Linked DNA regions of Caenorhabditis elegans. The protein of the gene in region 4 interacts with the protein of the main gene of each other region in a pairwise test. Each region holds a gene or a part of one and is shown on either strand. Other genes may lie near its edges.

Region 1 (8,767 bases), on a different chromosome or scaffold from region 4:
GCCCTATCCATTACGAACCGGATCACAATGCGGACATTTGTCGATCGTGTGATACACGACTTTAGCATTCCATGTCATCTTCTGTGCCTCGTGAAGTCCAAGTTGTAGCTCATTTTCAGGCGGTGGTTCAGTGGTTGCTCTCCGTTGACTTGAGTTATTGCTGCTGCTGGGTCCAGCTATTTCGAACGCCATCCCCGTGGATCCACACCGCCTTCACGGACCAAAGCAGCACCTGCGCTTTTGAACGAAGATTTTCGAAATTCTTTTGCTCACTTGGAAGGGATGACTGAAAAAAATCGATTTTTTGAGAAAAACTAATTTTCAGAGAATTTAATTATTACAAAGACGCGAACATTTGTACAAAAAATACGGTAACCGGTCTCGACGCGACAATTTTAGTTCAATGCAAAAATGTGTTTAACAAAAATATCGTAGCTGCATAATTTTCATAGATTTTGTTCAAATTTTAAGTATTTTAATATTTGTATGAGTAAATATATTTTTGAGATAAAATCGATGAAAATTCTGTGCAAACAAAAGTTTTTCGATTAGAAAAATAAAAATTGAAAGAAGATTATGAAAAATCGATGAAAATTCCGTAACAAAGAGATTCTTAAACTACAGTAATCCTTAAAGGCGCACACCATTTTTGCATTTAATACACATTTGTCGTTTCGAGACCAGCCACTGTACTGTTGCTGCAAAAAGCGCAAAATTTTCGTTTTTAAGGAACTAATATTGAAAGAATTTGTAAAATTTCTTTTTTAAAGATAATTTTGCCAAAAATAAAATTAGAAAATTATTTTTATATTTGGAGAGTATTAGGAAACTCTGATATTTTTTAAGGTATTTAAAAAATTTTTAAACGAGAAAAAATAAGCGAAATTTGACTTCAACAAAAAAAAAGGGATTTCTTTAAAACATTAAAATAATTTGACAAGTCTTCATTTTAAATATCTATCGCAAGAGTTGTTGTTGTTTTTTTTTTTGGGAATAAATTGATTGATATTGGAGAAAAGTAATAGAAAAACAAAAAAAAACCACTGACAACCAAAACAATTTTGTTAGATTAATCTAGATTCAAGAGAATATTTGGAGGGAAATGGGATTAAAATATAAAAGGTTTCGTTTTCTATGAAAATGTGATGAAAGGAGGGAGGGAACACGGAGATAGAAAAATAAGTTATCGAGATCCAAATAAAAAAAACAAAAATTAGAAAATTATTTAAAGATTATAATCAAGTTCGTAGCGGACATATTGATTTGTTGGGGTGTTCTCGATACGTGGATAGGCGGCAATAAGAGCATCTGCGGAGCCAAGAATTAGGTTGTTGAAGACCTGGAAATATTAATATGAAATTACATAAAAATTTAGCGCTTGTGGAAAAAACGTCTCAATATTCCGAATACAAATTTTAAAAAATTTATAGAAATTTTCTAATCTTTTTTTAAATTTTGCGGAAAATTTGAGAAGTACCAAAACATTTTTGAATTCCCGCGCAACCTGTATTTAATTTTTTCCTTTTTCAATTTTTCCGGTCGCTCACTTTTGGTCGAAAAAAAAGAAGATATTTCACAATAAAAATAAATTTTCTCTGAAAAATAAAAATTCAATTGAAAAAAATCATTAAAAAATTAGAAACATTCTATAAATATTTTAAAAGCTATATTCCGAATATTTCCACTATTTCTGTAATTGAAAATTCAAGGAAACTAAAATAATTACCTTCCACACTGGTTCTCGAACTTTTCTCGCTGGATGCCAAAGAGCTTGCAGGCAATATTGAAGAACCTGAAATGAATTTTAATTTTTGAAATTATTAAGAATTTAAAATAAAAACCTTAATAGGTCCCAACGAAACTCGCATTCCTTCACATGCAAACACCCATCGTTGAATAAGATGCGGTGAGTTTTCCAACATATTGGGCCACACATAATTCAATAAATGAATAAGTGCATCTTCACAACCAAATCCATAAACTCCAATAGCAAGATGAGCAACTGCGTCGACTGCAATCTGACGATGAACTTGATCTCTTTCCATTAATGCATCAATGAGCAGCGGAACAACTGCATAAATGTAGTCTTTTGCCATTTCTCCAATGTATTCGAACATGAATGAAAGAGCTTTTAAAACTCCGTTTTGTACATTAATTTCAGGTACACGATACTCGTTCATAATTGCTGGAAGTACTGTAAATGGGGCACAAGTTTCCGAAACAATGGCAATGGCGACTGTTGTACACACACGGAGCTGGCGTTCTTGGACCTGAAAAATAATTTATTTTAAAAGAATCACTTCTAATCCGAGCCTACCTTCAAATTATTGAGCAACGTTGCGAGAACATCATGTGGTCCGATAGCTTTTGCAATAAATCCAAATGTATTAATTGCAGCTCTTCGAATACTTTTCTTGTGAGCTTTAAGCAATTCGAGAAGCTCGAAACAGATTCTCATCCATTCTCTTGCAGATACAAATTCAGATCCTCTATCAGCGATTGCTCCCACCAAATCGATACAGTTCTCCTGCACTTTCTCGTGACGATTCTTCAAAATTGGTGTCAATCTTGGCAGCAAATCTTTGATTGGTGGAGTCATTTTGGTCATTCCAATAACATTGCAAATTGCTTTCAATGCACCGAGAATTGATCCAAGTACTTCTGGATATTCTTCTCCCAAATACTCATACAATACTACTCCCATGTGTCCCATCATTTTCTCCTCTTCACACATATGCATAACCGGTGCAATTCTGGCAATTAAATCAGCAGCTTGTTGACGAACTTTTGCAGATTTGTTGTTGAGACGCCACAGAATAGTACCACAGATTTGTGGGATATATGCCTTGGCACGTCGTCCAAGACTTGAGCAGATTGTTCCAAAACCATCAAGCATCACAGAATCTTCTTGAGTTTGTTCCTGGAAAGCATAAAGAAGACCATCAATCAGTTGTTCTTCAAGTCGAGCATCAATATCAGTCGCTCCTTGCAACGCTACAATATTCTCAATTGTTTCCATAACCATTTTTCTGTATTGCTCATTTTCATCCTTCAAATCATCAACAATTCGAGCAATCATCTCAACGCATCCGACTTTTTGAGCAATTTCCACAGTTGTATCAACCAATTGGCGATAGTTACGACGATCCATAGCCATTCTTTGATTCCAGAATGCTTTGAAGAAGCTTGGAAGTACTTCGTCTCGAATGTAACTCGCTTCTACTCCGTCTGTTGCACAACACTGCTTGACAACCTGCAAATTTAAATGTTAAACGATAGTTCTACGAATGTTTTGGTTATTATATCACTCACCTTTAAAACAATCTTTTTCATTTCCTCATCTGGCGATGCAAACTCGCGAATCAAAATGAGCATCACTTCTCTTGTATAATATGAAGCATATTCTGCGTCCATCAATGGAATCAGGTAACCAATAGCTTTAAGGAATGCAGCAAGACCTTTTCCACGATGCATACGAATACCTTTCCAAAGAGGTTTCAACACTGAATCGAAAGCTTCAATTCCGTATGGAGATGAAGCTTCGGCGAGAGCTGCCAAGCAGAGAGCAGTGATAGTTCGGACCTGAAACGATTTGCATCAATTCCAGAAACTTTAGAAATTAAAAAGAAAACCTTTTGCTGTTCATCATCCAATCCGCTTTCAACAATATCAACAAGTGCTTTCAAATGTGGTAATACTGCACAACCCATCAAAATGGCCATTTGTTGAACAATTTTAATACCCGTGTGCCGAGCCTGCCAACTTTTTTTACTTTTGCACACAGCTTTAAGGAATGGGAGGAGAGCTGGAATTCCGAGAGCTGAGGCGACGACAGCGAATGCACGAGCGGTTGTATTACGGACATATCTGCAAATTTTTGGGTTTGATTAAAAGCTTTGTGATGTTTTTTCTGCTTTAAATTCATTAAAACTGACCCGCAAATACCGAATTTCATAGTGAGATTTTTAAAAATCTAAAAAATACATTTTTAAAACTTTTTTTGAAAAAATTCGGTCTTTTCGGACTTTTTTAAATTAAAAACTAGTGTAAACCTATAGAAAATCACTTGATTAATCTGAAATTAACATTAATTTCAGCTGGAACGTTTCAGAAAGTTCTCAAAAATGGCCAAAAGTTGCCAGATTTTCTATAGTTTCAAACTAATTTTTAATATTTCTTCAATTTTTTTACTGTTTTCCAGGGAAAATTGAACAACCATATATTTGGTGTTTGTTTAATTGAAAAATCAACAAAACTGTCGACAAACTTACTCATCAACATTATCAATATCAGGCCTCATTGTAGAAATCATTGTTGCCAATCCAGCGGCCTTTGCAAGGTTGGAAATGATCTCACGACCTGAAAATATTTAATTTTTAAATTTTAAAATTTATTCTAAATTTTCAAACCTTCAACTCTTGCATAATAATCCTCATCGATAAGAAGTGGCTCAATGACGACAAGAATCTTATGCACATATGGTCTGACGAGATCATCCAATTTGTATAGAATTCGATCAATAACTTTTACCATCAAATGCCGTTCTTGATCCTCCAGCGATGGTGACATGAGAAGTGGAAGAATTTGATTGAAAAGTGGACCTGCTCCGTACTTTCGCGCGTTTTCTGTTATTTTTCTCAATCCGCTCTTTCTCATTGGCGGGGTTCCATTTTTGATTTTCAATAAATGCTCCATAATTTCCCGTTCATTTTTCTCTTCTTTCGTGAGTTGACTCTCATCTACATCCATCAACAACTTATCGAAATATTGCATATCATCTGGCTTTAGAGGTGGTAATTCTGCATTCTTAGGTTGAGTATCCACCAGACCACCGACTCCTTTCTCTCCGATTCCATCTCTATCTGGTGTTCCAGGCATAAAGAATCCTCCACCAGCAGCTCCACCCATTGGAGTTGGAGTGGCCATCAACTTCCGTGATGGTGTTCTCAGAGGAATGTAGTTCATTGGAGGAACCAGAACCTTGTAGCCAGGTGGGAATAGTGAATCGAGTTCTTCATCAGTCAATGGACGGTTTCTGTCATCAATTTCCTTCTCCCATCGGTAAATTTGCATTTGTTCAGGTGTCATTGGAATCATATGAGGAGCTGGTGTTTTCATTCCCATTGCTGCCGTTCCAATTGGAGTTGCTCCACCTGAATATATTTTATATTAATTTTATATTAATTACAATATTTTGTAATAAACCTGGAGTCATTGCTCCGATTGGAGTCTGTGAAGGGTGGCTCGGTGTGAATGATGGTGTCTGTAATCCGGAATGAAGTGGAGTAGCTGCTGCCACATTCGGAGTTTGTGATGGTGTCAGATCCCATCGTGAACGACGCTTCGATGCGGATGGAGTATCCTCAATCTTAACATCATCTGATCCTCCTCTAGCAGGAGTCTCCATTCCCCATCCCGGTGTCATTGATCCATCATTGAGATTCTCTTTTGGAGTTTCATCCCAACGATTTCTTCTCGGGGTCTGTGCTGCCGGAGTCGTTGACCATTTATCCACAGAAGGAGTTGCATCAGCTGCTCCAGTCGAGTGAGCCGGTGTTTCATCCCATCTAGCAGCTCTTGGTGTTGCTGCATCTGCACTAATCTTCGAAAATCCTAATCTTTTTCGTGGAGCAGAACCCTGAGATGGAGTTGCAGAAGCTGCACCAAGATTATCAGAAGATGCATCAGTTGATGGAGCTTCAGCATCCCATCTTCCTTTCTTTTTCTCTGGCTGTCCAGTAACATGAAGCTCTCCAGCTTTTGCTCGATCGGCAAGCTCCCGTTCAACACGCCCTTTCTCTTCATGGTACATCTGATCACGCATAACTTCTGCGTAACCTCGATTCCGATTGTCAGGAGTTTGATCAACTGAAAGAATAAATTTAATTAAAGTCAAAATGATTTTCGATCTTACCAAAAGCATCCGCTCTGTCTGGAGAGATCTGTCTCCTCATAGCTCTTTCGTGATACTTGGATTGTCGTTCTGCGATGGTTTTTGTGCGAGTATCTGCGAATGGATCAGTGTCCTCGGAGGCAGCAGCCACCTCTTCGATGAATTTGTGTGGCTGTGCATAATTTGTACTTTTCTTTTGTACACTCGGCATCGAATCCTCATCGACGTCATCTTCTTCTCCGGTTCCAATCGAGTCTAGGTAACTATCCCGATTTTCACCACGAACACTTCCGTAAACATCCTGAAATTGAAAAGATTCAAAAAGTAATAGAGAATTTTCAAATTTTCAAATAAAGTATTAGAATTCACTAACCGTGTCGAAATTACCAGCGGCTCCGAAGGCCACTTTATTTCCGTTTCCCTTATTCTCATCGTTGTCTTCGGCTGCCGCGGCACGCTGGTTTGCGACCCTTTTGCGGTTCAACTCCTGCGCATAAGCCTCGCCTGAACGAGACATCGATCTACAATCAATATTGATTATATGGAAGAAAGATTAAAGTTGGAAGGAAAAAAACTTTTTTTAGAAAAGATTTAGAAAACAACATCCTAAACTTCGATAGCTTGCGCGAAACCATTTTCAAATTGTAATAAACAATTGCAAAAATTTATTAATGAAATCACTAAAAAGAAATGGAAACCATAATCCTTTTACAATGAACAATATTCAAAGAAATACACTCAAGAAACTAAAATATTAATACCCTTGAAAAATAATGGATTATCTTACGAATTTTTATGAACATCAGACAGACAACAATATTTAAAGTTTTTCTGTTGTTTTTTTTTAAATAATTTAAAAGTTTTTAAACGTAAAATAACTGAAAACTGTCCCTTAAAAGGCGAAAATTGCATTCGAAATTTTGCACGAGAATCGCGTCAATGCACCGGTCGCGCGCCAACAGCACCTGCTGGCGCGCTCTCCGATCAGTGGAGGAAGATCGAAGATTGTGTTCACTTCAAGAGTTTTGACATTTCATTTGGAATATGGTGAGTTGCTCGTTTTAGTAGGTCTTTTCTGTTTTTTGTTGTTTTTTAGTGTTTCTTTCGACGTATATCGACTTTATAAGCAAATTTCCAATAAAATTGTGAACTTTTTTAAAAATTAATTTTTTTTCACCAACATTGTGGCCACTTTAAAATTGAAGCATAACTAAAATGTTCTTATTTTTAAATTTTTATTTAAAATAAAAGCTTTCTTATTTTTTTAAGTGGTTTTATCATGTTTTTGCTTTCTCGTTCTTATAGAGAGAGAGAGAGAGAGAAGAGACGCAGAATACTGGGGCAGCATATAGCATGTGTGTTGTTTAGATGTCTCCTTGCCCCTACAACCCTTTTCTATCGATTTCCCCGTTTTTTTCGGTCTGCCACGTGCTTCTTTTTCAGTTCATGCCTTTTCTCCTTTTATGAGATTCTTTTTTCCCCAACAAAATCTTATCGAAAATTTCAGGGTAAAGTCTGAAAATGGCTCCGAACAAGGCTGCCGCTGAAGAGTATCCAGTGGATATTGTGGATTTAAGTGATGATTTTAAGAGTAGCAAGACTCTTGATTTGGTCCTAGACGAGGAGCACAAAGTCTACAGATATTGGATTCATTTGAAGTGTATGAAATGGTCAGTTTTACTTCTAAACGATAAATTGTTCACTTTTCTGGAAAAAACGCTGAATTTTGGCTTTATGGTTAAAAAAAAACATAATTTTTAAGAAGTTGAAACTACAGTACTCTTTATTGTCGTTTCGAGAAACCGTATTTTTGCACGGAAATCGATCAACGTTGCTTCTGAGAAATAATATAATCCCATAACAAAACTGAATTGTCAGGCAAATTGAGTTGCGTGCAAATTCCTTCGAATGCTTTGCTGCTTACTTCAAAACTCCAGCCACCTGGTCAGCGGAAGTTGAATTCGAAATTCGGGCTCACGTTACAAACTCTGTGAGAAGCGAAAAGTTTACTGGACGATATACAGGATCCAATCATGTCTACTTTCGTCCATTGAAGCTTCAAGATCATATGGTTCGAGAGAAGCTGAGAAGTATGAGAGTAGAAATCACAGTGAATGTCATTAAAACTATGAACTTCGGAATGCTCTACGACTATTTTGATGTTCTACCAGAAGAAGAGAATGCTTTGTTGAAAGTTGAAGATCGTCTTATTCGTGTGAATAAAAGATATCTGTCAATGATGTCTCCATTCTTTAAAGCATTATTCTATGGAGAATTGGGTGAAGATAAAGAAATCTATGAGATGAAAGAGAAGTTCCGTGAGATTATAACTTTCCTCAGATGTATTTATCCACACAGACAACCTGTTACAAGTATGTTCCACAATTTTGAGAATCGAATTATTATCAAATTTGCAGAGAAAAGCCTCGACTATCTTCTCCAACTCGCAGATCGTTATCAATGTCAACCAATTGTGGATGCGTGTGAGATGTTCATGTGTGCACATTATCATGAATATCAGAAGAAGACGGAGAAATGTTTCTCTTACGTGGAAAAGTATAAGATGCAAAGAGTTTTGGTACGTTCAAACGTGGACTTGTGGGGAATTTACTATGAATTGCTCCCGGTATCTACAACAAGCGTGGGCGGCAAATCTTCTGCAAAACTTACAAAACTGTTTGTTTCAATGTTATAATTCATTATATTGAATGAATGAAAAACTGGTATAGAAATGAAGAAAATGGGTTGTACCATCGGAAAAAATATTAATTTGAGTTTAAAATTTTGAAAAACACCTCAACTAGTACTCGAAAGCTATCATTTGCCAAAAACTTTTTAACTGGAAACGGCAACTTTAACGCAGTATTTGAAGTG
Region 2 (4,166 bases), on a different chromosome or scaffold from region 4:
ATCGGCGAAACTAAATAAGTTAAAAGGCTGGAGTGAACGGTTCTTCGTTTTATTTGTATTTATTACCATGATTTCGATGTTCTCCATCATCTTTCAAATGATCTGGCATTCGAACATGATTGAGACTTGAAACTGTGTAGAATAAATATTGATTTTTCAAGTTTTTCTGCTCATCTTCATCTTTCTTTATCAAATTTTGCAAAACTTCTCGTCCGAAATGAGCGTAGAATCCTTCGTTTCCGGGATTTCCTGAAATTAAAATTTTCTTAAATTTTTAAAAGCGCAATTTCCCGATTTACCTGGAATCATTAAAATAATCACTCGATTCTCGTTCTCCTTTTTCTTCTGAATTTTCAGCGTTTCGTCTGAAATATCCAACCCCATGACGGACATTTTCGTCCATTTCCCTGCTACTCGAACCCATTCCACTTTTCGAAGAATTGAGGTCATCTATATGTAAATAAATAAGAAAAACTGGAAAAATGCGGTTAGAAAGAATGATATTGTGTTGGGAAATTTTCACCTGCCTCAATAATTATTTTTAAACATCTGTAAAAAATCGATGGAGGAAGATGGCTTTATCTCAAGTTTGGAGAAGAAAACACAAACAGAAAAATAAATAAAACGTTAAAACAAGATGGAAACAGAGATACCGTATATTCTCTATTAGTGCTGCATGCAGCACTAATTTCCAGGCCCTTTTTGAGTGCAGCACTATTAGAGACTGCAGTATTACTGGAGGCTGCAGCACTAATTTTCGAACGGCTATTTTCAATTGGAGATCACTAGTTTTTAGTCACAAATGCTCACCTTTTAAGCAGAAATCCATTAAAATTGTGAAATTTTGTAACAAAAATGACCTAATAACTCAATTATGTTTGTAAGTTAACTAGAAATCTTCAAAAATATACAAAACACTCCCCAGAATGTCAAAACTATGTATTGAGTGACTCTTTCAGTAGAAAATGGGGTGCAGCACTAATAGAGACTGCAGCACTAATTTTCGGACCCTTTTTGAGTGCAGCACTATTAGAGACTGCAGTACTACTGGAGATGCAGCACTAATAGAGAATATACGGTAATAATTTTCAGATTTTGTGATTTTTTTTGTTTGAAGAATGATGATTGAGGATCGTGTTGGATGGATTTGGAAACGATTATTGACGGTCACCGCCTGAAAAATGTAGAAGATTCATTTTTCTTAATAGTCACACGAATAAAAAAACCAATTTGAAACAACTTAAAACGATTTTTCCATTTTTTTTTATTCTGCTAACCTTTTTGAGCAATAGCGCGATTGTAGCCTCCTCTTTCTGGATCATAATCCTTTCGATACTCATCACGAACTTGTCCACCGTGTTTTCCTCTTCCATATTGACGTCCTTCAATGAATCCAGCATCCCAATCAGCACGAATTACACGATCATCCATACGAGTGTTTGAGATGTTCTGAAGAGCCAGCTCAGCGTCTTCTCTTGTGTAGTATCTGGAAATCAATAAATAAAAATAAAAATTAATTAAATTTTATTTGTTCGGGTTAAAAGTCCAGAGAAGCAATGAAAATCGCGGAAAAAACTCACTCGACAAAGCAGAATCCGCAAGGAGTTTTCTTGAATCTATCCAATCCCATGATCACTCTTCTGACGTCACCGGCTCTTCCAAACAGCTCATAGACTTGGTCTTCTTTAGTGTAATATGATAAATTTCCAACATAAAGTGTACATGATGTGCGTAGAGCAGTCTCCTGGTCTCGAACGGTTCCCTGAAATTGAGAACTACAAATTTGAATTCGTATTGTGCAACAACACCTTTTATTCGATAAAAACCCGAAAAGTTGTTAAAACAAAAGGCTTACCTGGTATCTTTGATCTCTGTAAGCACTAATTTCCTTAGGATTATCCAATGTTCTTGGATCGAAGACCATTTTAAAAGAAAGAACGAAGAAACAGACACACTCTTCAGCGAACAAAATTCGAAAAGAGAACGGAGTGTCGTAGCGCGTGTTGTTTAACTGAAACCCGAGGTTATTTGAATTTGGATTTTATCAACCCTCATTTAGCAGATATTGGATAACGAAATAACATTGGGAATATCGATTACGAAACGAAAATCTAAAATAAATAAATGTTTTATACCACGGAGAAAATATTTTAAAATTATTAATCAATCATTTGATGATGGAATTGGTCAGTTTACACACAAATACAAATGGTAGAAGGAATTAAAAATAAATAAAACAGAAAAAATAGTACAAGGTTTGAAAATGTAAGTGAAGAAAAAACATTAACAGAGTCTATGGCATATTTCAACAAAAATACGAGATTAAAATTCACCATTCATAACTTTTTGATAGCAAAGAGATGCCATCTGTTGTGATACTTCTTCTCCTTCCCAATGACTTTTGATTGGAATTGTAACTGCTGAAAGCTTTTTGAGCATTTGAATTGATTCGAGAGTTCCGGAGACGGAGACGATGTAACGAACTGAAAACAATTATTTTATGCTACCAATATGAAGAGTTTTTAATTACCTGTAGTCTTTGGTTTCGCCTTATCGTTTATCGGATTTTTCTCCTGTCGCCGCATCTTTACAGTTGAAACATTTGTGTGTTTCTTCATATTATTGATCAGATCATTCACATTTATATTTTCTAAATGAAAAAAAACTCAATTTTTTTTATTTCCAAAAGATTTTACATACCGGGTAACTCGATAACAAATGGTTCACACTCTCGATCCATCGTCTCAGCTGTAATTGTTGGATCAGATGATACTGGAAGCTCTTCAAAACGTAGATTAAACAGAATATTGTAGTAGGTTTTGAGAGCTGATTCATGGAATATTCGCCATTCTCCACGCATAAAAATCGATGAGAAGTTGAGAGGACAAAAGGATAAAGTCGACATTTTTCTGAACTTCCGACATCCCATAAATTGGAAGAATTTGACCATCTGAAAAAAATACACAATTCGGCTTTGAATTTCTCGCCAATGTTGGACTACAAATCATACAGCTGAATGGACTTATGTCAACTTTGATGAATCGAAAATTCAAGTTTTTTTTGTTTTATATTCGGTAAAATTTCAACTTTTCTACAATTTCCTATAATTTCTCTATATATTTCAATGAATTTTTTATTTTTGTTATCAAAATATAGATGTTTATAGACAAAATTCAAAGGTTTCTCTTCTTTTTTCATACTTTTTCGAAGAAATCGAAAAATCGACGATGTTCGATGACCCCCTTATTCCTTACCATATCTGATCTTTTTTTTTCAGTAAGTGGATCGATATTGCCTCTCGATGAATCTCTTTTCTGTTTCTCATATTCTTCTTTTTCAATTATTTTGAAAAACGGTTCTGCATTTCCATCAGCAGATGCCAATTGTCGTGTTGCAAAAAGAATGAACATGAGGAAAAAGTGATAAATCTTGATTGGTTTTCCATCAAACAATCGTAATGATTCTCCCCATCGCATTAACATGAAGAACACAGAGTCCAACCCTGGTATCATCTCCAGATATATTTTCAGAATGGAAATCGCTTCTTTTGATTTTTCACCGGTAATTAGATGATCGAGTTCACAGAAGTTCTTGAAATCCGCATCGTGATCAATCAAATATTGTTTTCGATGCTCTTCTAGGAAAGTGTACATGGGATTTGCTCCACCAATCTGCATTCTTTCGTTATTCAATACATTAGTCTCCTTGACTTTGGCAATGACGTCATATGCAATCCAAGCAAATGAAAGCTTCCGAACTTCTCTCGTGGATTGAGCACACTCTACAAAGAAATTACAATAGTTCAAAAAATTGAAACAAAAAAATTGAATTACCGTAACAAGCTCGATACCAGGCAACAGCTTTCTTTCTGACCTCCTGATCTGGATCTTCGCAACGGTAATTGAGACAGTTGCCGTTATCGTAAGCATTTGGTAAAAGTGTACATTTTACTGTGAATCCACCAAATTCCTGATAATGGCATAGAAATTAAAAAATAAATAAATATTGAAATAAACTGTACCTCGAAGAACGTTTCTCTGAATTTGCACACTAAAGATGTCATTTTTGTTTCAATCATTTGATTAGTGTTGTAGAATGACATATCATCTTGGTCTTTATCCGAAATTCGATTTCTCATTTCGACAATGCATCCTGACATGATTTCA
Region 3 (5,452 bases), on a different chromosome or scaffold from region 4:
TGTATGTCCATCACAAATGTGCTTCAACATAAGATCTTCCTTCAACCAGCCATGCTTGATCAGACTTACTATTGGCTCCGCGGAAACCTTTTCCACAATTTGTGTGCTGAACTTTGTCTCGCATTCCAGGGATTAGATATTCCACTTTTCCCGCATGGATTTACTTATGACGGATGCCAGAATGTGATGAAAAAGAAGTTTTATCAGCTTATCGACGTTGCAACAGTTATCACTAGACCCGAAAGATTTTGCAGTTTGGAGCTTCAATGGTGTGAGCTCAATGAGCAGCCAAATGCACTTCATTGTCTACGAGAACTTTGTCAAGAGTGTGAGTTTTTCTCAACTAAAGATAAAAATATAAACGAAACCATTATTACAGATTTCAAAGATACTCCACAAACTCGTTGGCTTTGTAGTCAAATTCCAGATAGACCGGAGCAAGCAGATGCATTTTTAAATATTCGACAAACGAAAGTGAAAAAAGAAAAGAAAGACTATCATATGGAATTCGAGAAAAGAAACCTTCACGATGAACTTTAGACGTTTTCTTATAATTGCATAATTTAATTTTTATAAACTTTTTACTTTGCTGATTCTTCTTTTATATTTTGTGTCTTTAAACAAAACGCTGACTTTCCTTTCTCCAATATTAATAGTCTCTAGAGTCACGAACAGTAGTCGAATTCCTGTGTTCAAGTAGTAAATGTTTACTCTCACCGGATACCAAAACTTAACTCATTTTACTAAATGTTCACGATGAAACGAAGTGTAGCATTTTGTTTAATATTAATTCCTATAACAATTTCAACGCAATGTTTCGTTTGCGATTCATTTCAAGGTTATTGTGATTTCGATGGTTCAACATGTGTTGGTCCGAAATGTTCGAGACGAACAGCGCCCATGACTAGTGAGTTAATTATTATACAATTGCAGTCAGCTTCGAATTTCAGATGGTTTGATACGTGAACAACGAATTTGCGTTCCATCCGATTCTCCTATTGGGTGTAGAAAAGCTGTTTTGTGGGATGAGATGGAAGGTGTCGAATGCGTTTGCGAAGGGCATCTGTGTAACATTGCTTCTTTTTTTTCTATAACTTGCCCATTAACATTGATTATTTTTATGATTTTATTTTAACGTGAATAAACATCACAAAAGTGAGCTTACTCAAGGGGTGGGGTGTGGGGCGGCTAAACCAACCACTAACAAGTAACAAAAAGAAGGGTGACAGTAAGAAAAAAAAACAGGAGATGGGTATGCTTAGCAACTGGGGGAACGTGCTAAGAGCACTTGGCAATGAACTTATTGCTTCTGAGCGGAAACGAGAACCGATGCAGCTTCGTCGACCTTCGAGCGGAACAATTCACTATCTTGAAGCATCATGATCAACTCGGAATTGTCGATTTCGAGCATCATTCCTGTGATTTTTCCTGCGTCCTTGTGTCCCGGGTAGAGTTTCTCAATGAGAGCGTAGATACGCTCACCAAGAAGTTGCTTTTGCTCCTGAAAAGATGTATCATGAAATTAAGTATTGCAAAACAAAGTAAGCTTACCTGAGGAGCAGCAGCGGCCAACATTGCAGATGTGAGTGGCTCTTGTCCTCCAATAACGATTCCTTGTGGTCTTTGCTGGTATGCCTGATATGGCTGTGGTGGAGCCTTTGGTCCGGTTGGAGCTGGTCTTTGCTGCTGTTGTTGCTGTGGTGGACGTGGAACGTTTTGCTGTTGGACTCCAGGATTTTGGGTGCGTGGTGGTCCCTGCATGCGGACGCCTCCTTGAGCGACTTGATTGTACTGCTGTGGTGGACCGCGTGGTCCTCCTTGTTGGTTCTGTGGACGTCCCATGCGGTTTTGGTAGACACCTGGGCCTTGAGCCATCATGTACTGATTTTGGACTGGGTACTGATTTTGCATTCCCCAGCGACCTCCTGGGCGAACCATCTGTTGTCCACCGGCGAAGTTGCGCTGCTGAAATAATAAATTCGAGCATTACAAAAAAAACAACAAAAAACTAACCTGTTGCATCGGATTAGCAACATAGTATCCTGGTCCTGGCTGTGTTGGGTTGTACATGGCTGCTCCTGGAACGTTGCCGTGCATTCTCATGCTTGCAAGACGTTGCATGTATTGAGAAGCAAGCTGTGCACGACGATCTTCTTTACGTTGAGCAATAGCCACATACAATGGCTTTGAGCACACCATTTTTGAGTTCATCTCAGTCACTGCACTTGTAGCTTCCTCCGGCTTTTCGAAGCAGACAAAACCGAATCCCTTTGATCTCCCATTTTCGTCAGTCATGACCTAAAAATATTATGTATATGATAGCATTTTGAAAAAGTTTACCAACCTTAGCACTCGTGATGTTTCCGTAAGACTCGAATTGCTTCTTCAAGCCATCATCATCGACAGTCTCGTCGAGGTTTTTGACGTAGAGATTGACTCCTTGATACTTCTGCATACGCTCAGCCTTGTGTTGCTCGTGCTTCTTTTTCAATTCAGCGTGTCTCTCAGACTTCTTTTGGGCACGGCAGACATGAAGTTTCAAGTCAGTTCCCTCGATGGTTGAATCGTGAAGAGCTTGCACAGCAGTCTCGGCCTCTTCTGGATTAGCAAAAGCAACAAATCCGAATCCCTTGGACTTTCCCTCGACAGTCATGACTTCGCAGCTGGTAATGTTTCCGAACTTGGCGAAGAGCTTCTCAAGGGTTTCCTTGTTGTAGTGATCTCCAAAGTTCTTCACGTAGACATTGGTGAACTGTTTGGCAGTCTCTCCAAGCTCGCGATTGCGTTGAGCACGTGGCTGGAATTTGCCAACGAAAACCTTCTTCCCGGCCAGAAGCATGCCATTGACTTTTTGGATAGCATTTTGGGCAGCTTCCTCGGTCTCGAAGTGAACGAAACCGTAGCCTTTGCTGAATCCGTCCTCGTCGATAGCAACCTGTACAACATAAATTGAAGGCGGTTTGGCAATGCTCTAAAGAAAACGTTACCTTGCAGGAGAGAATGTTTCCGAACAGGGAGAAGGTATCGTAGATTGACTTGTTGTCGATGACCTTATCGAGGTTCTTGATGAAGATATTGCCAGCTCCCGAACGACGCATAGCTGGATCTCTTTGAGACCACATGATTCTCATTGGTTTGCCGTGAAGAGCCTCGAAGTTCATGGTGTCCATGGCACGTTCAGCTGAAAATTGAATTGAATTAAAGATTGAAGTGAATTTGGAGACAAACAAACCATCAGCTGGTTGTTGGAAGTTGACGTAGGCATAGCCCAATGAGAGACGAGTGGCATTGTCTCTGCAGACACGAATAGAAAGAACAGGGCCGGCAGCGCTGAACTTCTCGAACAGGATCGACTCGTTGACGTCCGGGTGGAGGTCTCCGACGTAGAGCGAAGCCATGGTGTACGACGAGCCGGTCTGATTTTGGCCTGGTTGAGGAGCAGCAGCGCCAGCAACGGCGGCAGCGGGAGCAGCGACGTTCATTTCCATGATTTTACTGAATTGAAGATTGAATAAATAGAATAGAAGTAATATTTTAGTGACCGTCACGTATTTCCGTACTTTTTTATTATGGGTGAGGAGTTGGGTCACGGAACAACGTCTAGCGAGGAAGTCAGGCGACGTCTAGCCAGACCGCGGGTTAATGTAGTGTCTGCCTACCTACAACTAAAGAGCAAATGACGATAGTACGCTAAGAATAGCAGAAAGGGCGGAGTTAGCCTAATTGTCTAATAAACGCTCACATCTCGGGACCTGGGAAGTATCGATCGGGAAACACGCAGCAATTATTCGTATCGGTAAAAAATTACTTGTTATTCAACAAAAAGAGACAGAAAACTATATGTCCTTCCCAAATAATCATAGAAAACAATTTAGCACGGAAACAAGTAACGGTTCGAATTACGAAATAGGAAAAATCAATAAAACTCACGTTTTGGTGTCGGATCGTCCAAAGAATAATTTTTTTGGTGATTTTTAGGGTTTTTTAAATTTTTATGGGTTTTTGAGCAGTTTAAATTGGGATTTACTGTCCTTTTGCTCAGAGCCAGGAGAACTCGGATCCCAAAAACCGGAAAAAGACACACTAGTGTTTCAAGGGAGGAGGGAATGTGCCGATGGGTCTCGCCACGAAATGCATCGCGAACCGTAGTTATCGCTGCTTTGCCCCTATTTCTGGCCCAAAATCTGATACTTTTCGCTGTTTCGTTTCTTTTTTGCAGAAAATTATGTTTTTGAAACCAAATTTTAGTTTATTCGACTTATTTCTGTTTTTTAGTTGCAAACTTTCAACAGATAAACGCCTTTTTATATAATTCTTCAAGCTGTAAACTATTATAAATTGAATTTCTTACCACTTATTTTTTGAGACGTTGAAATTTTCTGAAGTAGTACGGATGATCGCTTTCGTAAAGACGTTTTGAAGTTATTTGTTTTTTAATGTGCCGTCCTTCTTTTGCTCTATTTACGTGGCTCAAATTAGAAGTTCACGCAGTTATTTTTTCTATTTTCAGGTAAATCATCATGGCTCCAGCTGCTAAGCCACAGGTTAGTGAAGTTTCTCTGGAGTTAAATTTTCGAGCAGCGATGGAGTAATCCGGAGCTCGGGTGATTTAATTGAGAAGGAGTAGCTTCCCCGCTCATTCTGTCACGGGCTTCGGGTGCTCAATGTAAGCGCTCGCGAATTCTCCAATATTCGAACGCCTGATGATCCATATATTCGTTTAGGTCAAGAAAAATGCTGAGAACATCAACTCCCGACTCTCCATGGTCATGAAGACTGGACAATACGTCCTCGGATACAAGCAGACTCTCAAATCCCTTCTCAACGGAAAGGCTAAGCTTGTCATCATTGCCAACAACACTCCACCACTCAGGTAAATCAATATTTATCATTTCGGATTTTTATTAACTCATGATTAATTTTCAGAAAGTCCGAGATTGAGTACTACGCCATGCTCGCCAAAACTGGAGTTCACCACTACAACGGAAACAACATTGAGCTCGGAACCGCCTGTGGACGTCTCTTCCGTGTGTGCACCCTTGCAGTCACTGATGCCGGAGACTCCGACATCATCCTCAGCGTTCCATCTGAGAGCGCATAAGCTGTTTGTTATTGTTACAATAAATTGTTGAAAACAGTTTAGAATCAGTATTTTTAACACAAATTGTTTATTGCAAATCAGGTGCGGCTTTAGTAACACTTTCCAGTTGCGCTTCGTAAACGATGTCACGGATGGACTTTTGGATCTTCAGCCAGTGTATGCGATCCTTGTATCCTATTTCTTTCAATGGGAGGTACAACGATCGACAGAATTCCATGTACTCGTCAGATGGCATTTCTTCTAGTTTCTCTTTCTTAGAAGAGGGACCTTGGTATAAATCGTACGGCTGTCCCTGGAATTGCATCGGACGTTTTTTCATCACAAAATCGTTTTGATTCACACTGTCCAGGA
Region 4 (5,020 bases):
TCGTGGTCCCACAGTGATAGAGCAATTACAGCTTTACATCTAACTTCTGGCGACTTGTCCAACAAACTCTTCGCCAATTTTCCCATCCATCGGTTTTTCACTCCGCTTGGAATCATAACTTCACTCTCTGTAGGATCTTCATCAGAGAGGAATGCGTCATCTCCATGCTCCCGCATAACATCAGCATACCGATTCGCTTCTTCCATAAGACACGCGATGAGTCGATAAATGCGACAACGAACGAAAGAATCAGCGTGCAAATAAAGACGATCGACAAGAAGAATCAGCTTATATAGAAGATCACTGCACTTCATTGACTTGTTTTTAATTGCAAGTTTTGCGATGAATATCATAAGTACATGCTCGGCCTCCTCAGCACCTTGATCTCGTTCTCGTTCATCAACAATAATCGATATAAGCCCTTCAATTATCGAATCAATAACAGTATTCCGTTTGCAATCTAACATAGTTGACTTGAAAATTATTTTGTGTGCGACGTCAAAAAGTGCTATCGCTGCAGGCTCTGCTCTATATGTGACTTCGGTGAACACTCTTCTTATACGAGCTGTCAGAACATCCAACGGAACTTCTTCTGTAACATGATTGTCTTATAACGTTTATATATACTCACAAACAAACCAATCGTCAAAAGATTGAAGTCCTCTTCATTTAAATCCAGCTCCTTCTGTTCTTGTATGACTTCTTCATTAATTTCATCTTCTCCGTTTGCATCATCACTTTGTTTACTTACTGAGCTCTGAATAGGCTCATCGAAACTGTCGTTTTGAGGTTCGTTAGCTTTCGATGAAGCTTCTTGAGAATCAAAACTGTCTTCACACGCAGGTTCTTCAAAACTATCTTCATCGTTATCCTCTTCTACCATATCATCGAAAAGATTTCCGAGATGATCACCAGACTCCATCTCAAACATTTAGATTTGTGCGAAAACGGTTTTCAAGTAATTCAAGATATATAAGGGAGATATATAAACATCTTTAAAACAAATGTTCAACAACTTTTTTTTCAAATTTTTATGCTAAAATAAGATTAGGAAAAAATTACAAAACGAGTAACATTACAAATTACGATAAGCTGTCTACAGAAATGCACAGGGAATAACAAAAAGAACCGGTATAACAACCGGATTTGAGATAACTAAAGGTACATTTGTGAGGAGTTGAGTGTTGGGAATAGTACAAAACTGATTGGGCTAGTGAGATCCCTGCATATCTTGGTATGGATAGCTCATGACAGCCGGCTTTTGAAAATATTTTTCAAGTTTTGCTGCAAATTAAGGTTGAATATTATTAAATCATTCTTTGCAATATCTTACCAAGAATGTGCTTTCCATGAGGGAATTGTCTCAAAACGGGAATGTGTGGACGAACAGTTAGGATGAGTTCACGGCGCTGTTCTGATGTAACCTGATCGAACATTTTCTGAACAACGTAGTTGGCGTACTGATCTTTCATCATTTGGACAACAATCGGTACAGATCTGAATGAAATAATTATATCTACATTTTTCATGAATATACATACCCTTCCTGATGGTGACACGCAGCTCCTACGATCATGGACTTGTGATAAACTGCGCCTTGTTCCAAACATTTTTCGATAACGTTCGACGAGTACTTGTGGGTGGCAAACTCGAATAGATTGTTGGAGACACGAGTAACAATAACCATTCTATCCTCTTCACTTCCATGTTCAATGACGTGTTGAACCACATAGTTTCCGTACTGATTATTTGCAATTTCGTCGAAACGTTTATGAATTTGGCCGATAACAGGCTTCGTCTGCGAAGGACTGCAGTGTTCGAGACAACGTTGGACAACACGACAACCGTAGGGATCCACAGACATCTCGTAAATTGTGTTGCTGGATTCTAGAAGCGTATCGACAATGAATTGGACGTACTGTGGACTGACTTTCTCTATGGCCTTCTGAACCACGTGGTTTCCATTTTGATCTTTCATACAACGATGGATGACGTGTCGGATTTGAGAAAGAATTTTTATTTGAAGTGGCTCATTGATTTTTTCCAAAGCTTTCTGAAGAACACGGCAGGCATACATTTGAAACGCGTATTCTGGTACACGATCAATTATTGCATCGACGAGCCGAGCCCAATGCCTTTCTTCGCCATATTCGAAGAATTTCTGCACTACGTAGTTGCCGAAAATATCATCAACGAGCTCATCAGCATTGGAAACGACTTCATCAAATATAGAGTCCTTCTCGAATCTGTCCTTACTGGAAGCAAGTTCCTGTTGAATGAATCTCGAGCCAACTTGATCTTTGGCAAACTTCAACAGTGCTCCACGAATGTCTGATAATTTTAAATTCTTCATCATGGCTGGATTTGCACGATATCTAGTTAGAAGATCGTCGGTGGTTGTTGGTTCCCTGAAATATACAAATATTTAAACTATTTTTGAGTTTAGAAAAAAACCTGTAGGGATTTGAAAATATGCCTGTGGCAGACGGTTGAACCGGTACACGAATACTTTGAGAATGCGCTTGGTGCATTTGTAAATCATTATATGCTGTAAAAACGGAGAATTTCCATATTCGAAATATGTTTTTACTAACCTTGTGCTTGTAGCATTTGTGTCATTTGATTCGAAAACATATTAGAACCATTGTATTGATGATTCATGTAGTTGTTATTGATAGTACTCAAGACATGACCGACATTAGAGCTGATTGGAATATTTTCTTGAGCACAATAACACGATGGTGGAGTTCCGAACATGTGCAATGTATTCTGGCCAATTACTTTTCCTCCTTGATGCATGTAAGTGGCAAATTGAAACTCTGGTGTATCGGGAAGGCGTTCATTTTTTGGATTGGTAGAAATATGACGGCCATACGATCTCTGAAATCATTGTTTTATTGAAAATTTAATTGACAAACACTGCGGCAAATCTATCAGTGTGATTTATTGCATGAACATTGTATTTCTATTCAAAATAAAAAATAATTTCAATATTGCAATAAACAAGACTCACAATCGGAGATCCGCATACACTATCCACTATTTTCTGAGCACCGATGCTCCTCCCAAGAGATTCAATCGGAGAAGCTGAAGGATCAAATGTGCATGTATTCCCAATTGAAATCGGACGACTCATCAGGAACGCAGATTACCCCTAAAATAATTACTTTAGGTCAAGGAGGCATAGTTCAGCTTGAAAAAACAATTGCAACGCGTACTTTATTTATTTTTATTAATTAAAATAGTTGCACATGAGAATTTAGAACATTAAAATGAGAAAACAATGAAAAACAATCAAAAATCACTATTTAGAACAGGAGTTCCGTATTTATTCGGATAATTTTCGAACGAATACCGTAGTCGTGGTGTTCGTGGTGAAACCCATTTCTCCATTAAATGCATGTTCCTTTAAATTATTGAGGTTCCGCACGCACTTGAGAGTCCATGGAAAGGAGAACTGGTGAAAAACTTAATATACGAAAAGGTAATATGCTGAAAGGAGGCGTGGCATGTAGGAGAGTAGAAAAAACATTTTTTTCGACTTTTTGAAAAAATAGTAGGCTTGGATTATGTAGTTTCAATATGGTGTCGGGTACTGTATTTTCTGAAAACCCATGTGATTCGAGTTCGCGGCGAGACCTAATTCTTCAGGGACCTAATTTTATACGAATCCCAAGCTGACCTAGTGAAGACCCTGTGTAGATGTAACAGTAAATGTAAACATAGCATTTATATTAATCTCCGTTTTTCTGGAGATCAAATGCTAAGTAGATCAATTGAATATACTTGTGCTCTCAGAGATACCTGCTCCAAAGTCGATATTTCCTCACTCTCAACTCTTCAGAACTGGCAGAAAGTGTATGAATGAGTGTTGTTATGCATAGTATTGAATATTCTAAATTTATTTTCCATGTGCTTTGTGCTTAACATAGCTTGACCGTTTTGATTCTTTCTTTACAATGAAATGGATATACATCTTCATCTTTTTATTCTCGGGAGTCGAATGACCGTTTCAAAAACTTCAAAGTGTGTAGAGCATGCAAAAGCAAACAACGTGAAGATTCTCGACAAATTTAGTTTTTTTTTTTCTTCCCGACCGTCCGTTCGCCGGCCATCGTATCAAATTTCCTCCCACCTCTATTTCATTGTCATCTCCATTCCAACCCCTTTCTGACCTTTAACGAGAATTAGATTTTGTCTGTTTGTGTATATTTAATTTTGGAAAACAAAGCCTCACATCGAAAAAGGTTGCAGGCTGGCCGATCGTACGAGCGTATTGTGTGTGTGTACGAACATAGAGCGTCCGATTGCATAAGGTTCGTGTAAAGCAGCTTCCGGCCGTGGGAACAACACCATAGTTTGTGTGCCGAGAAGCGACGCCCCTTGTCTCCTCACAGTCCCATCTTTGTTCTTGCTTCGTAACTTGAACTCATCACGACCAAATAGAGTCTTTGACTAGGTGTACCCTTTGGTTGCCATGGTTAAAAGTCTTCATTATTTTATATTACCTTTAATTGGTAATGCCCTAATTCTAAATACACCACCTGAATATCAACCTGGATATGGTTATGTTGGACCAGCATGTGCTGTATTTGTAAGCATTCGTAGAAAACAATTTGAAAATATCTTCCAAATCTTTCAGGACAGTACCCTATTCCTTCATGGTGTTTCCAAGCGAAAGTTGAATGATCACGAACTACACATATTTAGTTCGTATCAGCATGATCTAAGTGCATTCAAAGAGTTTGTCATTCTATTCTCGATTGTTTTGAAAATTAAGCGTTTTACAGTTCATCATCTTCATTTGATTCTTTCGAAGCCTCGTTTCCTACAATTCCAAAATTCTGTGGAGGGTATGATGATTCTATTGAAGTGGTGTTGGATTCTTGTATTGTTCGAGTAAGTTTTTTTTTCCAATTGTGTATAGTTAGAACCATCTGGTTTTAATGTAAATCTTCAATATTACGGTATCAGGGGTCGACACGATCGGAAATTGATAGGTCAAAGACGCTTCGAGACC

Evidence for each region.
Region 1: the proteins of puf-8 (region 4) and sftb-1 interact in a two-hybrid assay, tested with the Caenorhabditis elegans proteins (one study listed by BioGRID).
Region 2: the proteins of puf-8 (region 4) and ncbp-2 interact in a two-hybrid assay, tested with the Caenorhabditis elegans proteins (one study listed by BioGRID).
Region 3: the proteins of puf-8 (region 4) and pab-1 interact in a two-hybrid assay, tested with the Caenorhabditis elegans proteins (one study listed by BioGRID).

The regions. Positions count from the first base shown.
Region 1 is NC_003281.10:4,262,857-4,271,623, forward strand, and holds sftb-1 (Splicing factor 3B subunit 1 domain-containing protein), read right to left. Parts: upstream 6,415-8,767; 5' UTR 6,411-6,414; coding exon 6,267-6,410; intron 6,195-6,266; coding exon 5,915-6,194; intron 5,869-5,914; coding exon 5,206-5,868; intron 5,154-5,205; coding exon 4,410-5,153; intron 4,360-4,409; coding exon 4,272-4,359; intron 3,868-4,271; coding exon 3,633-3,867; intron 3,583-3,632; coding exon 3,313-3,582; intron 3,254-3,312; coding exon 2,318-3,253; intron 2,271-2,317; coding exon 1,842-2,270; intron 1,793-1,841; coding exon 1,727-1,792; intron 1,340-1,726; coding exon 1,226-1,339; 3' UTR 927-1,225; downstream 1-926. Other genes in the region: depd-5 (DEP domain-containing protein), read right to left, coding at 19-192; R10E4.1 (BTB domain-containing protein), read left to right, coding at 7,415-7,563, 7,772-8,265, 8,311-8,471.
Region 2 is NC_003279.8:7,641,318-7,645,483, forward strand, and holds ncbp-2 (Nuclear cap-binding protein subunit 2), read right to left. Parts: upstream 2,012-4,166; 5' UTR 1,925-2,011; coding exon 1,856-1,924; intron 1,763-1,855; coding exon 1,581-1,762; intron 1,487-1,580; coding exon 1,278-1,486; intron 1,175-1,277; coding exon 1,158-1,174; 3' UTR 1,140-1,157; downstream 1-1,139. Other genes in the region: F26A3.1 (Lipid droplet-associated hydrolase), read right to left, coding at 67-249, 300-450; rrf-1 (RNA-directed RNA polymerase), read right to left, coding at 2,323-2,483, 2,531-2,650, 2,701-2,950, 3,255-3,781, 3,834-3,969, 4,022-4,166. UniProt on the Caenorhabditis elegans protein: Component of the cap-binding complex (CBC), which binds co-transcriptionally to the 5' cap of pre-mRNAs and is involved in various processes such as pre-mRNA splicing and RNA-mediated gene silencing (RNAi).
Region 3 is NC_003279.8:10,431,744-10,437,195, forward strand, and holds pab-1 (Polyadenylate-binding protein), read right to left. Parts: upstream 3,496-5,452; 5' UTR 3,489-3,495; coding exon 3,233-3,488; intron 3,182-3,232; coding exon 2,988-3,181; intron 2,936-2,987; coding exon 2,345-2,935; intron 2,299-2,344; coding exon 2,014-2,298; intron 1,966-2,013; coding exon 1,552-1,965; intron 1,502-1,551; coding exon 1,301-1,501; 3' UTR 1,118-1,300; downstream 1-1,117. Other genes in the region: Y106G6H.1 (Saposin B-type domain-containing protein), read left to right, coding at 1-328, 380-540; rpl-30 (Large ribosomal subunit protein eL30), read left to right, coding at 4,521-4,544, 4,725-4,873, 4,927-5,101; madf-10 (MADF domain-containing protein), read right to left, coding at 5,169-5,452.
Region 4 is NC_003280.10:7,295,094-7,300,113, forward strand, and holds puf-8 (PUM-HD domain-containing protein), read right to left. Parts: upstream 3,155-5,020; 5' UTR 3,137-3,154; coding exon 3,014-3,136; intron 2,881-3,013; coding exon 2,595-2,880; intron 2,549-2,594; coding exon 2,455-2,548; intron 2,409-2,454; coding exon 1,542-2,408; intron 1,498-1,541; coding exon 1,334-1,497; intron 1,285-1,333; coding exon 1,211-1,284; 3' UTR 1,022-1,210; downstream 1-1,021. Other genes in the region: C30G12.6 (uncharacterized protein), read right to left, coding at 1-592, 640-922; C30G12.1 (uncharacterized protein), read left to right, coding at 4,478-4,594, 4,643-4,743, 4,791-4,899.